Drosophila melanogaster: one gene and its partner. Changing the gene in region 1 together with any one later gene gives a genetic interaction. Each region holds a gene or a part of one and is shown on either strand. Other genes may lie near its edges.

Region 1 (7,807 bases):
CCTGCTTGGACAGAAAGGGACAAACCGGTCCGTCGTAGGCCTCCAGTTGGGTGGCTATTTGCTTTAGTTTCGTGACCTTCAAATCGATGTAGTGCACCAGATCCTTGCGCCGGAATTCGTAGAACTTTAGGTTTCTCGCTAAAACCAATGTAGTGGGGTCATCCCGCGGTCGGCCCACGTGAAGATTGGCGCAGAAGGCCAACCGGGCCGGCTGGAGCAGCATCTCCGGCACATTCTCCTGGACAAACGGCAGCATGGATGCGGAAGCCACAAGATGGATGTGGCGCCCTTGACTCGAAAGCCCTTCGAATCGATAGCTATTGAATTCAAGTAGTAGTTATCGATGCGGTGAACGATATTAGGCTATTTTGAAATGGAAAAACCAATATTAATCGAGTTTCGAATGCTCCTTTTAGCGAGAGGTAAGTCTTTAACACCGCATAAACACAATCAGTGTTGCCTAACCAATCTGTGCCCTCCACTTTCTCTCATAATCAAGCAATTTCTCATAAAAAACGCACATCGATAAGCTGATAACGTTGGCCCTCGACTAACACCGATTATTCAACAAGTTGTGTCAATCGGCGGAGCAGCTGATCGTTGTAAGTAGCAAGAAGAAGACGCCACACAAACATTGCACTCCGCTCCGCCCGCGCGTTCTCATTTCCCATCTCTCTCACTCTGTCTCTCGCGCTCACCGTCTCTCTCTCTCGCTCCGCCTCGCAACCCCCACAGCGCTCCACAAACCGGGCCCCACATTCTTGTGTGTGATTTCTGGTTCAGGTTCTGATTTCCCGCGTGTCCTTGTGTGTGTGCGCGCTGCAGTGTCTGTGTATCTGTTACTGTTGCTGCATCTTCTGCATCAACTGCAACGTTACCAAAAATCAAAAGACAATCGCCTGCAAAAGCTTAATTTTGTTGCTCAGTGTTTTAAGTATTAGCTGTTTGCAAGCAGCACACACACGTAAGAAACAACAAGAACAACGATAAAAGACAACAACACAAATGCAGAGCATTTGAAGCGCAAACACACACAAGCATTCGGTGCGGCTGTAAGAGCGAGACACAAAATAAGGCTAATTTATAAAAGAAAAGTGTGCTGCAAGGAATCGATAAATAACGGGAGTCGAGGAGCGGAATAGGAGTAACCAATAAATATAAATACTGTAAATGCGATATTAAAAAGCGACAACAACAACAAAAAGCAGCTGTGAATCACTCCGTCCCGCTCCCCCGCGCTTTCAGTCACTCCAGTTGCTCCACTTCCATATATATTCGGATTTGGACTCCGATTCGGATACGGATTTCGCTTGGTTCGATTCTGTTTTCTTCGGATCGGTTTAGCTTTGCTTGCCAACTCGAAATCCCACAAACATGGTGAGTACTGGCAGATTATTGCCGCCGTTTTCGAGTTGTTTTGGCCAAAAGCGGCAGTGGCAACCAAACAGCAACACCCACACACCACACACACACGTACAGTGCAAGCTTCTTGGCCAGGTTTTGAGCTCCTCCATCGCCGCAGTTCCAATCCGAACTTCGTGGTAAACAGTTGTCCGCTGAAAACGCAGTGCAGCCTCCGCGTGAAGAACGCTCTGAATATACGGTTTCAAAGTCCTAAGAGGTTGTTTATATGAGTCTAAGTACAGCTACAAGATATATTTAAGCTATGCTTTTCGAAACTATCGTGTAGTTGTTCCAAATACAGTGAAACCTCAATGTTCGGTTTTTGAAGTTAAAAAGAAATATAAACATATATTTGAAGTTTACAAACTGTACAGTATTAATTTGAGCAATAAACCCAACAGTCCAGATTTGAAGTTTTTTTGACATGTTTCAAATTTTTAATATTCTAGCATAGTGTAACGTAAAACATGATTAAATGTTTAGCAACAGCAAAAAAACTACATTTTTGCAAATAGTAAACAAAATTTTAAGCAGTTAACCGAAAAAGTTACAGACCATAGATGTTACGCGATATTTGGATACAGGTTTTAATCCAGATTAGTTGCAATCCAGATTCCTAAAGTCCTATGTCAATCGCCGTAATCTTCGATTGAAAAAGGCCGAGAGTTGCTTTTTTATGTGGTAACATTGGTAAAATCTTTCATGCCATTCCACATATGGTTGTTTGGAAAGGGTTAGGTAACTGGATTCTTGAGCACTTGTCTCACCCCAGTGGGCAATCAAATTCGCCTGTGGGAGCAGCACTGGCGATCCATCTGTGCATGAATCCCCGCCAGAAGCTGCGTTGTGTGTCTACCTAGCGGGAAATGCTTACTAAAGATTTAAATTCGTTTTCGCAGAGCCCGCCCATCGTCACGCGACGGAGTGCGCAGCAGGCAAAGATTCAGACACGGGCAATGGCCAGTAAATCGAAGACGGGCACGACAGGGGCGGCGACGGCGGCCGGCGGCACCGGCAGCAGCAGCGGCAGTATCAGCGGCGGATTTAATGCCGCCGATCCGCGAAAGTCGAACAAACCGAACGCAGCGCTCTTGGAGGCGAAACGTCGAGCTCGGAACAACATGCTCAAGAATCAGGGCTGCGGATCGCAGGAGAGCGTCACGGATATATTCCAGAATGTGAGTGCTATCTGACTGACCTCTATCCTCTGTCCTTGTGCAATCCTAACCAAGTGATATTTAATCGTCGCCGACGAAAAGGCTGTCAACAGCAAGAGTCTGGTGCGGAAACCAACGGCACTGATCTACGATGAGTCCATGAGCCAGCACTGTTGCCTGTGGGACAAGGAGCACTACGAGTGTCCCGAGCGCTTCACACGAGTCCTGGAACGGTGAGTATATTTGAAGAAAACGGTACAAATTAAGCTGATATGTATTCCCTAATCTCCTCATCCAGCTGTCGCGAACTAAATCTGACGGAGCGCTGCCTGGAGTTGCCCTCGAGATCGGCGACCAAGGATGAAATTCTGCGCCTGCACACAGAGGAGCACTTCGAGCGGCTGAAGGAGACGTCCGGGATTCGCGATGACGAGCGCATGGAGGAGCTGAGCTCCCGCTACGATTCAATTTACATTCATCCGGTGAGCAAGCGCATCCAACGGGGAACATGGAACAGTGCATCCCAGTGCCTGGCTCCAAATTAGCTCATTTTATTGTATTTGCACTTGATTGCTTGCGGAGATTGCGTTGTTTTTAATTCGACGGCTTGATAAATGCAAATTGGAGCAGATTAGATTAGATGCGACCCATTGCACAGGTACAGTGCGGTGCATAAATGTAAATGGTTGAGTGACTGGCATAAATTATGCAAATGATTATACCTCCGAACTTAAAATGCATTTATTCCCCGATTGTAATTCTAATATGTCTATTCTTGTTGTGATATTCATTATCTTTATATTGCGTGCAATCTTTATTTAGTTTGCTCAAACTTTAGTTATTAATTATTACGACTGCCCGCAGCTTTTATTACTTTATATTTCATTAGCTAAATCCTCCAGCAATCTGAAGCGCACTGTAAATTCGTTAAAATGGGCTGGTACTCATACTATTACATCCTAGATAAGATTCCCGCTGTTTTACTAGCACCGAACTTGTTATATATAGAACACTGATAACCTTATCCGCCTCCCACCCGCAGTCCACATTCGAGCTCTCCCTGCTGGCCAGCGGCTCCACCATCGAATTGGTGGACCATCTGGTCGCCGGAAAGGCGCAGAATGGCATGGCCATCATCCGGCCACCGGGTCACCATGCGATGAAGGCCGAGTACAACGGTTATTGCTTCTTCAACAACGTGGCACTGGCCACCCAGCACGCCCTCGATGTTCACAAGCTGCAGCGCATCCTGATCATCGACTACGATGTGCATCATGGGCAGGGAACCCAGCGGTTCTTCTACAACGATCCCAGGTAAAGTTGGCAATATATGTTTAGTATTCTCATTCATCGTGTGTGTGTTTCAGGGTGGTTTACTTCTCCATCCATCGCTTCGAGCACGGAAGCTTCTGGCCGCATCTGCACGAGTCGGATTACCACGCCATTGGATCGGGAGCGGGCACGGGATACAACTTCAATGTGCCGTTGAATGCGACGGGTATGACCAATGGCGATTACCTGGCCATTTTCCAGCAGCTGCTGCTGCCGGTGGCCCTGGAATTCCAGCCGGAGCTGATCATCGTTTCGGCTGGCTATGATGCGGCGCTGGGCTGTCCGGAGGGTGAGATGGAGGTGACGCCGGCCTGCTATCCGCACCTGCTGAATCCGCTGCTGCGACTGGCCGATGCCCGGGTGGCCGTCGTTCTGGAGGGCGGCTACTGCCTGGACTCGCTGGCCGAGGGTGCGGCCCTAACCCTGCGCTCCCTGCTCGGCGATCCTTGTCCGCCGCTGGTGGAGACAGTGCCACTGCCGCGTGCGGAACTCGCCCAGGCCCTGCTCAGCTGCATTGCCGTGCACCGACCCCACTGGCGATGTCTGCAGCTCCAGCAGACCTACGATTGCGTCGAATTGCAGGATCGGGATAAGGAAGAGGATCTGCACACGGTACTGCGCCATTGGATTGGTGGACCACCGCCTATGGATCGTTACCCTACGCGCGATACGGCCATTCCGCTGCCGCCGGAAAAGCTGACCAGCAATGCCGCTCGTCTGCAGGTGCTGCGCGCGGAGACGAAGCTATCGGTGCCGTCGTTTAAGGTGTGTTATGCCTACGATGCCCAAATGCTTCTGCACTGCAATCTCAATGATACGGGGCATCCGGAGCAGCCGTCGCGCATCCAGCACATCCACAAGATGCACGACGACTACGGTCTGCTGAAGCAGATGAAGCAACTGTCCCCCAGGGCGGCCACCACAGACGAGGTGTGCCTGGCCCACACTCGCGCCCATGTGAATACAGTGCGTCGATTGCTGGGCCGCGAGCCGAAGGAACTGCATGACGCTGCTGGGATCTACAACTCGGTGTATCTGCATCCGCGCACCTTCGATTGCGCCACCCTGGCCGCCGGTTTAGTGCTGCAGGCGGTGGACAGTGTGCTGCGTGGCGAGTCCCGCAGCGGCATCTGCAACGTCCGTCCGCCGGGCCATCATGCCGAGCAGGATCATCCGCACGGCTTCTGCATTTTCAACAATGTGGCCATTGCGGCGCAGTATGCCATTCGGGATTTCGGTCTGGAGCGTGTGCTGATCGTCGACTGGGACGTCCATCACGGCAATGGGACGCAGCACATTTTCGAGTCCAATCCCAAGGTGCTCTACATCAGCTTACATCGCTACGAGCACGGCTCCTTCTTCCCGAAGGGACCCGATGGCAATTTCGATGTGGTGGGCAAGGGAGCCGGCAGGGGCTTCAATGTGAACATACCCTGGAACAAGGTGGGTTTTTGCACACTTACGGGCCCAACTCATTCCACTCACTTTGCAGAAGGGCATGGGTGACCTGGAGTACGCACTGGCCTTCCAGCAGCTGATCATGCCCATTGCGTACGAGTTCAATCCGCAGCTGGTGTTGGTATCCGCCGGATTCGATGCTGCCATCGGCGATCCCTTGGGCGGATGCAAGGTGACGGCCGAGGGCTACGGCATGCTCACCCACTGGCTGTCGGCTTTGGCCAGCGGCCGGATAATCGTTTGCCTGGAAGGTGGCTACAATGTGAACTCCATTTCGTACGCGATGACCATGTGCACCAAGACGCTGCTGGGTGATCCCGTGCCGACGCCCCAGCTGGGAGCCACGGCGCTGCAGAAGCCACCAACGGTGGCCTTCCAGAGCTGTGTGGAATCGCTGCAGCAGTGCCTGCAGGTGCAGCGCAACCACTGGCGCTCGCTGGAGTTCGTCGGACGGCGGCTGCCGCGGGATCCCGTTGTGGGCGAGAACAACAACGAGGATTTTCTTACCGCCTCCTTGCGACACTTGAATATCTCAAATGACGATGCTACGGCTGCGGCGGGCGGACTCGCCGGCGATCGTCCCGACTGCGGCGATGAGCGGCCCAGCGGGAGCAAGCCCAAAGTCAAGGTAAAAACGCTCAGCGACTACTTGGCGGAGAACAAGGAGGTACGAGGACAGCACTGCGCTTATCCCTCAGCTGGCAACTAATCGCTTCTTTTCGTGCCTTTCTTCATCTCGATCCCATGCCCTGCAATCTCTGCCCCTCGATCCCGTTCCCGATCCCCATTCGCGTGTCAGGCCCTCGAGCAGAGTGAGATGTTCGCCGTGTATCCGCTCAAGACGTGTCCGCACTTGAGGCTCCTACGTCCGGAGGAGGCGCCCCGATGTAAGCCAATGCAGTCCGGAGAAGATTCCCTCCCCTTTTGGTCAAGATAATAGCACTTCTTAAGTGTGAACAAGTTGTCAAGAAAAATTCAGTTATTGAATCTCTTTGTATCTTTGTATTTGTATGCTGTGACCCATAAAAATAATTGGAAAAATGGTTTTATGACTCAAGTTAAGTCTTCAATAACGTATTTAACATTTTATATAAATGGGGAAGTTGTTTGAAATGCATATAGTGAAATACCCTATAAATCTGAAAAAATCGGGAAATACTTTACAGGAAGTGCTATTATTTTGACCAATTTTAAGGACTCTTCTTTCTTATAATGTTCATCGTTTTCTTTGCTTTTTGTGCTTAAAATTAGCAATTGGCTATTTTTCTAAATTACTTATAACTGCTTAATGGTTTATGTGCATATGGCATGCAATCTTTTTGTGCTTGGCGGCTGTTTTTTCTTTCAGTATCCTTGCGTTTATTGCATTTTTTGAAAAGGTTTTTTGCTTCAATCCTTACGTTTTAGCAATGTAACTTTGGGTTTTAACCAAAAATCTGCCGTGTGATTTGCTTTTATCTAACTTTATCTTAGTTTAAAACTTTAGAACATTTGATATATCGCCTGCATGTGAACAGCTTCTTGAGCTATACGCTACTCAATCCTGACACAACTAACATACTTTCTCAACGATTTCCCATCCAAATCAGCACTAGACAGCGGAGCGGAGTGCAGCGTTTGCGGATCGACGGGGGAGAACTGGGTGTGCCTGAGCTGCAGGCATGTGGCCTGCGGTCGCTATGTGAACGCCCACATGGAGCAGCATTCAGTGGAGGAGCAGCATCCGCTGGCGATGAGCACGGCTGACCTGTCTGTGTGGTGCTACGCGTGCTCCGCGTACGTGGACCATCCCCGCCTGTATGCCTACCTCAATCCGCTGCACGAGGACAAGTTCCAGGAACCGATGGCCTGGACACATGGGTGTGCGTGGCGCGAGGATGGCTGCTATGCGACGGGGCCCGATGGGCGAGATGAGGATGACGATGATGATAATGGCGCCGGTAGCAGCATTTGCCTGCGACTGGAGCGCAACAACTGACCCTTAGCCATCCGCGTGCTGGACGCCCTCACGGACTACTTGTGCGCGCTCTGCCCGCCACTAAGGCACCTAATCCATTTCCTGGCCGAGCACCTCTGGCCGCTGCTGGAGCGCATTTACCTTAACCTGTTGCACTACTTCCTGGCCCACTGAGCACCCCATATCCAATCCTCTAGCCCGCACCCACAACTGATCTGAAAACTGCTGCAACTGGCAGCCGGTCGGTCATCCCCTGGAGATCCTGGCACCAGTCACCATACCATTTATACAAATGCAAATTGTTAAAGTTATCAACTAATGATCTAATAAATAATTCAAGTGTTTTTTGAGTTTATTTTCGAATACAGTTTCTAGTTTCGTTAATGAGATCGAACTTCTTAAGTTCAGAGGTATTTATTCATAATTCTGTTCATCCCAGCCAAATCGACAGTTCATCCACGGTTTTATTTAATCTATATTTCTAGATTAACTCAATATT
Region 2 (7,203 bases), on another chromosome or scaffold:
CCAGAATAGAGCTCTGGTAGCTGTGGCTTATATCCGGTATGTGAGCAGCTCTCTCCAGGAGCGCAGACAACGCCTTAAGGGAAGCTTTCAGTATCTCCTCATTGTCATTTCCTGGAAAAGTCTCTGTTTTCAGAGCCTGCCATATCTGATCGAAGTGCGGCTCCAGAACGGAAGGCGGGAACTTCACGGCAGCTTGGTGCTGTAACAATAAATAGCATGTATAAAAAGAGGCATTTCAAAATGTTACGTTTTCTTGCCAGCAGTTCTATGGAGTCCAGTTTGGCAACCAGCAACTCACTCTCCAGCTTTTCTATGGCCAGTACCACTGTGCCCTCAGCGAATTCGTTGTTGGCTACCAGGCAGTTAGTCAACTTCTTGGACAATTCATCACGGGTTATGGCCGCTGGATCCTGCTTGCTGGGATTAAAGTCGATTGGAAAGTAACACGCAAAGATCTCAAACATCTCTTCGGCCAAATGCAGCAGCGGATACGTTGACAAGAACTCGGGCATGAAGCTGAAAATGATGTCAAGGTTGCGGGGGTCACGCTCGCCGTCAATGGAATTGATCAGGCCGTAGACGAAGTCACCGGCCATCGCTTGCAGCTCTGTATCGGGAAGAAAATTGATTTGTTTGAGTTGTAATATTGTGTAATATTTTCTAAAAATAACGGAAATAAAAGGTACTAAGATTGTCGCAAATATCTGTTCGACTAGTTAAAATCATCTAATTATAACTTTTTTGCACACTGACTTGTTTAAATCGGATTAAAGCAATGTCAATGTATCTTTCATGCTAAAATGAAATCAGGGCTCACCGTCCTGGAAGTTTTCCGTCAAGTACTGGAAAATGTGGAACAGCTTGGTGCGGTCGCTCCGCGTCTGCGACTGGCAGGTGGTGTGCTCGAAGAATGACTGCAGAATCTGGGGAATCTGGGCGCGCGGTAGAGCTTTCATGTGAACCAGGGCGTCGATTCCATCGATAATGGCTGGCATTACGTTGTGATGGTCGCGCAGGCGGTCCATGTAAAAGGTGCTGAGGAACTCCAGCTGCCGCTCTTGCAGCAGATCCTGGGGCAGTGCTATCAACACGGCGGAGAGCAAGTTGGTTCCGGCCACACGCTCCTCCATGTCCGGAGAGGACAGGGCGAAGCCCAGTGCCTCGGCCAGAGCAGATATGTCATATGCCTTGGCGGTCAGATCTGGAGGAAACAAAGAATCTCTATGAGAAGGGCACATTCGACACGGATGCGGGTGTAAACCTGCCCTTGGCTATCTGTGTGGCGGAATTCACAAGCTTCTGGTCGCTTTTCAGAGCCTTTTCCAGGGTGGCGCGCGTGGGCGTTGTCATTGCGGCACCGTCGCTTGAGTGGTGTCTAAATTTAAATGAGTTTAAGCACGTTAAGCCGAAATGTTAAGAACCGATAACCGATGACTTGTCGTACTGGCCTTATCTATATCACAGCGATGCCAGACTGGTGTTACAGTAGTGCAAATGTTTTAGCGATTAATATAGCTTTTATTGCAGTGGCGCTCAGGGATGGTAATGTGTGGCTCGGAGACAAATTCTAGAACTGGAAAATATACTTACATATTGTATATTGATTTATAATCGATAGACACGATACGGAGATTTTCTTTTTATTTTCTTGTAATTCGTTGTAAATTTAGAAATATATTTTTAGCAGCTCTGGAAACAATCGATAGTCGCCGACTGTTGCACACAGGGAACGCAACAGGGTGGTCAAGTGTCCGCGCCGATGTATCGATAAGCCCCGCATCACCAGAGCACGCACATCACTAGTATTACAAACACAGGCAGGCAGCAGTTTATTTTAGCTACCGCAGCACCTTAAACTCTGAATTAAATAGTTTACGCATTCATTTTGCGCTCGGAACGCCGCGTAACAAAGCTAGTACACTAATGTCCATAACCGTAAGTCGCCCGCGAACTGCTCAGCTGCAATTGTAGGTGTGCGGCGGCGAGACGTCAGCGCTGCTGTTGTTGTTGCTCTTGTGGTTGCTGCAGCTGCAGACGCCCCCACATAGCTGGAAATAAAATAAGAAGCATAAGAATAAGAAATACGGTGAAGTGTCGAATGCAAAGTGCAGTTTGCTGTGTCCAGAGGCTTGCAATTAACTCAAATTCTATTTAGATCGCATTAATTCGACCCATTGTGCGCCCGTGTGCGTGTGTGCGAAAGTGTGTGTTGTGTGCCGCTGAAACCTGAGCTGAGTGTGCGTGTGTGTGTGCGAGCGTTAATTTTGTTGTTTTTACTATTGTGTTTTTTGTTTTTTTTTTTTTTTTTGCATACGACGATTTGAGTCGAGTTGAAAGAATCATTCAAAGCCAACAAGGTCGAACGCCTTATTCGGCTCATAACTACCTAATACATTTTCCAATCGGCATTTGGCCCACGTCCCGCCTTGGAGGCGGAATTGAAAATCGGAGCGCGTTGCGTTTAAATTTGGTGACAAGTCGGCGGCTGTGCGCCTGATAATTTATAATTAGCAGCTCACTTGGGTCGTTGCCACTGGCATCTTCTATTATTCGCAATTGTCGCCGGGTTTTCCACTTTATTCGCTTCTGGCTGGGAGGCGCACTTTCCATTTTTACCTGCAAGGCGAGCCAGCGAATGACGAAGTCGCTTCCGTTCTATTGTTCCCCTTCCCACCCAGCAACACTTGGAGAAACTCACGCACTCGAGCGCTTTAATTGGAACTAATCTCTGTCTCTCGTTTTTGGCTACAATGACGACAACCTGTTCCGATCGCCAGTTACTGCGAGGTGGCAAGCAAAAGACAACCACTTGCGTAGGAATGACCGTAATGGCCAAGACTACGTTTGAAGAAATATGCGAGAATGCCAAATTAGCACGGGACATGGCTCTGACGGGCAACTACGACTCAGCCTGCATCTACTATGAGGGCCTCCAGGGGCTGCTCGCCCGCCAGCTGAAGGCCACCGCGGATCCGCTACGCAAGGGCAAGTGGAGCATGGTAAGACATTCCTATCACCACCTCCAGATACTGTCAACTACCATGCCAATGAATGCGAATGGTGACGGTTATGACAAACAAAGGACTTAGTCATAACATCTTGTCAACGCCATTCAAAATTGCCCAAGAGGTTTTGTGTAAACGAGTTATCTAGATCGTTAACGTGCATATAAAGATTTAATTTAATCAGAACACTACCGAATGACTAAAATTTGAATTACAAAGTAATTTCTAGCACTACTGGCACAAAGTAACTGGCTAAAACTCCAATAGATCATAATAAACCAAGTATTTTCAAAAAGTTTAATATTTACCATACCGGACGATTTCATTGACATCATTTAACTAACTGATCTTCGATTTGCAGATCAACCAGCAGATTAGCCAGGAGCACGCCAAAATCAAGGCCATTCAGAGAACCCTACAAGACATCTCGCTGGACCTACAGTCAACCAAATTTGCACACAAGCTGCGACACCAGCTCAGCGAAGAAAGCACCACCAGTAAAGATCCATCTGCCTGGTTCAAGCCGGACCCCGACATTTGGACGCCTCCGCCCAAGGATCCAGATGTGTGGGGTCCGCCGAAGCCACCACCCACCACTCAGGCCGTTGGCCGAAGAGCCGCACCGAACAACCGCCGCACCACTCCGGCAACGCAAAACAGCCGCCCCAGCAGCACAATCCCGCAGAGCACTGCCCGGAATGGTCCGGCCTCGACACGCAATTCCCGCAACTCAACGTCCGCCACAGCACCGAGCGGCGGAGCACGCACCACCAATGGAAGGGCTGGCGGTCGCAAGCTATCCACATCGAACACCAACGAGGCTAGGGACGACGACTCCACCGCTGCAGGCAACAATGGCGGAGCGGCTGGCGATGGAGAAAACGGCGATCCGCAGGCCGCCCAAGAGGAAGAGCGCAAGTTTCAGCCCAACAACCACATCGAAGCCGAGCTAGTCGACATTCTTGGTAGGTGCCTAAATCGTTGCCGCAAGGTTTGCCTCGTTCAAAATTTGGTGATGTGCTAGTCTTATTTATTAAGCAAAGCTAATGCATTACTCTACTTGCTTTAAGATTTGTGGCTATTTCAAAAATGGTAGTAGTTATGAAAATTTGGGTCTAGTATAGCTACATTTATTACATGCCAACGCTCTCTTTTCAGAACGTGATATTCTTCAAAAGGATCCCAAAGTGCGCTGGAGCGACATTGCCGACCTGCACGACGCCAAGCGGTTGCTGGAGGAGGCCGTCGTGCTGCCAATGCTCATGCCGGACTACTTCAAGGTGCGTCACCCCCGCTGTTTGTTTTCTGTGAATCACATTCTGCCAAACGCTTATCTCGCGATGGGTCAACAAACGCGCTTTATTATAGTGCTCAGGGCAATGTGTATTTGATCAACTATTCTGAACTGTCACGAAATGCATCGCCTTGCAGCTTTATCCCTCTTAACTAGGTGGTGGAACTTGTCAACACATTCTACTTTTACTTGGGGCGGTTTAAAAGTTTCCATTGTTGAAATTATGCTGATTATGATGTACCTCTATCTATGTTATCTTATCAAACTATGTGTGCGTTCAAAAGAATATCGATCCATAATAACCTGTCGAAAAAAAATAAATAATTATGTATATATTATGTATATATATGGAATGCTGACCATGTGTTTCTAACGCCTTTAAGTCACATTAAAAATCACTGATCCAAACACCTGAGACTGAGCTCGATTGCTATGTTGACCGTGTTGTACCATATATGTAAGAATATTTGTTGTTTTCAAATATTTCCGTCCAACAAATATTTTCCCCATCTAAAATGTGGATACCATGAAATTTTGCGTGGGCGAAAGATGTTTGAAATGGGCATCAGAGAAGCCTACAGCACCATTTTTCGATTTACCATCTTACTGAATAAACAATAGCAAGAAAGATAGACTTAACGTGGATAGTAGATAATTAGATATTTATGTTTGATTGGAAGAAATGGTACTCACTTCTCCAATGTAGATTATTTAATTAATTAGAATTAGGCAAATGACACAGCCTAAAACAGTGGTTCAGATCAAAACAATCGGAAAGTATACAATTAATATATACTGAAAGTTTGTAAACATTTTAAAGCAAAAGTACATAATCACTTCTTGCTTTCTACAACAGGGTATCCGGCGACCGTGGAAGGGCGTGTTAATGGTGGGACCTCCAGGCACGGGCAAGACAATGCTCGCCAAGGCGGTGGCAACCGAATGCGGAACTACGTTCTTCAACGTGAGCTCGGCCACGCTGACGTCCAAGTACCGAGGTGAGTCGGAAAAGATGGTGCGGCTCCTGTTCGAGATGGCCAGGTTCTACGCGCCCAGCACAATTTTCATCGACGAGATCGACTCCCTGTGCTCGCGCCGAGGATCGGAATCAGAGCACGAGGCCTCGCGACGAGTGAAGTCTGAGCTGCTGGTCCAAATGGACGGCGTGGGCGGCGGAGAGGAACAGGCCAAGGTGGTCATGGTGCTGGCCGCCACCAACTTTCCTTGGGACATCGATGAAGCGCTTCGGCGTCGTTTGGAAAAACGCATTTACATCCCACTGCCATCGGATGAAGGTCGCGAGGCGCTGCTCAAGATCAATCTCCGCGAGGTCAAGGTGGACGATAGCGTCGATCTTACCTACGTAGCCAACGAGCTGAAGGGATATTCCGGAGCTGACATCACAAACGTGTGCAGGTGAGTTCAGAATACACTAATTTAAAATGGCGTAGTCAGTTCCAAATCATGTCAATGGAATAAAATGCGTGCTCTTCTTTTTCCAGGGAGGCCAGCATGATGTCGATGCGGAGAAAGATCGCAGGACTGACCCCAGAGCAGATTCGGCAGTTGGCTACGGAAGAGGTGGATTTGCCCGTTTCCAACAAGGATTTCAACGAGGCCATGAGTCGCTGCAACAAGAGCGTGTCCCGGGCAGACCTGGACAAGTACGAGAAGTGGATGAGGGAGTTCGGATCGTCATGATGGCGCTGCAGACGCGAATGGCTAGCGATTGTAGGAGTATATTTTTGAATAGCCTTAAACACGCGCTTAAGTCATTAAGCTTTTAAAGTGAGAACCGAACCGATCCGAGCCGAACGGAAGAGTTGAACATATTTTATATATAACATTTTGCAAATACGATACAATCTATATATTTACATATATACATTGAACCGGAGGCCGTTGGAATTAGAAAAGACTAACCGCTCTCAAAGAGGAAACACAAATGGAAAACTGAAATTGAAATTGAATTGCAATGAAGTCGAGAGATAGGCAATACGTTTATGTATACATAGCGAAAACCACCCACACACTCCATGAGCACAAACCTTCCAACAAATCGTTAACCCACAATCACACTATATGCAATAAGGAATCGCTTTAATCGCCGCCTAGCCTTGGCCTCATACTCCCACAATATGCACACTCCAATCCGTATCATTTTTTATCGAAAGTTTTTATTTTAACAAGAAATGTCCACTGTCTAATATTAATGTTAATTTTCGCTTAATTTATACTTTCACATATACATATATATCATAGTTTAGTGCAGGCAGAGATGTGTGTACCAGAAAGTTCCCTCTGATTTGCAATTAACCCACTGTAATCAGAAGATGAAACTGAAGCAATATGTACTTAAAGAGAGGATTCTGAAATTTTAAACAATAAAGAAGTTTTTAACTTTACGGCATTAAGAGTTGTGACTTTTTTGGGTGCTTTCTGCAAGGATAAATAAGGATAAAGGTCTTGCAAATGATGCTGATGATGTTATGATTTGATTATTATTACAATTAAATCACTGTTACGAAAATGCTGTGATCCCCAAAGAGAATTTATATCTAGATACTAAGCGGATGTTGCATTTGTATGACACAGCGGTAATTAATCTTTTCTAGAAATCAAGAGTCAGGGAAAAGCACTTTATTATGAAATCCAAGAACGTTTATCTGATGAAAGCACCCTTCGTTCACCGCTTACCAAATGTACAAACTTGCCTGCTGCAGACTGATGCGCCATGGCAGTTAATTCGCTGAGGACCAAGGACCAAGGACCAAGACCTCAGTACGGTCTGGATGGCGGTGGCATGGGCATCAGGGGACCCATGATTGGGTAAGGGGCGGAGCCCCCAGACGCGGGATAGAATCCGCTGGAGGGCACGTTTCCGTAGGCTGGCAGAGAAGTATT

Evidence for each region. Genes that interact genetically often act in the same process or in processes that back each other up.
Region 2: of HDAC6 (region 1) and Kat60, changing one suppresses a phenotype caused by changing the other (phenotypic suppression), as found in Drosophila melanogaster (one study listed by BioGRID).

Annotation. Positions count from the first base shown.
Region 1 is NC_004354.4:15,332,687-15,340,493, forward strand, and holds HDAC6 (histone deacetylase 6), read left to right. Parts: upstream 1-1,791; 5' UTR 1,792-1,964; coding exon of another isoform or gene 1,965-1,988; 5' UTR 1,989-2,270; coding exon 2,271-2,582; exon of another isoform or gene 2,583-2,663; coding exon 2,664-2,794; exon of another isoform or gene 2,795-2,859; coding exon 2,860-3,043; exon of another isoform or gene 3,044-3,285; intron 3,286-3,603; coding exon 3,604-3,875; intron 3,876-3,928; coding exon 3,929-5,336; intron 5,337-5,385; coding exon 5,386-6,018; intron 6,019-6,150; coding exon 6,151-6,238; coding exon of another isoform or gene 6,239-6,288; exon of another isoform or gene 6,289-6,406; intron 6,407-6,940; coding exon 6,941-7,329; coding exon of another isoform or gene 7,330-7,482; 3' UTR 7,483-7,674; downstream 7,675-7,807. Other genes in the region: CG9114 (uncharacterized protein), read right to left, coding at 1-256.
Region 2 is NT_033777.3:5,226,789-5,233,991, reverse strand, and holds Kat60 (katanin 60), read left to right. Parts: upstream 1-1,782; 5' UTR 1,783-1,923; coding exon 1,924-1,935; intron 1,936-2,678; coding exon 2,679-2,999; intron 3,000-3,366; coding exon 3,367-3,970; intron 3,971-4,163; coding exon 4,164-4,285; intron 4,286-5,155; coding exon 5,156-5,715; intron 5,716-5,801; coding exon 5,802-6,000; 3' UTR 6,001-6,703; downstream 6,704-7,203. Other genes in the region: Mms19, read right to left, coding at 1-199, 258-607, 818-1,201, 1,266-1,350; Vps37B (vacuolar protein sorting 37B), read right to left, coding at 7,078-7,203.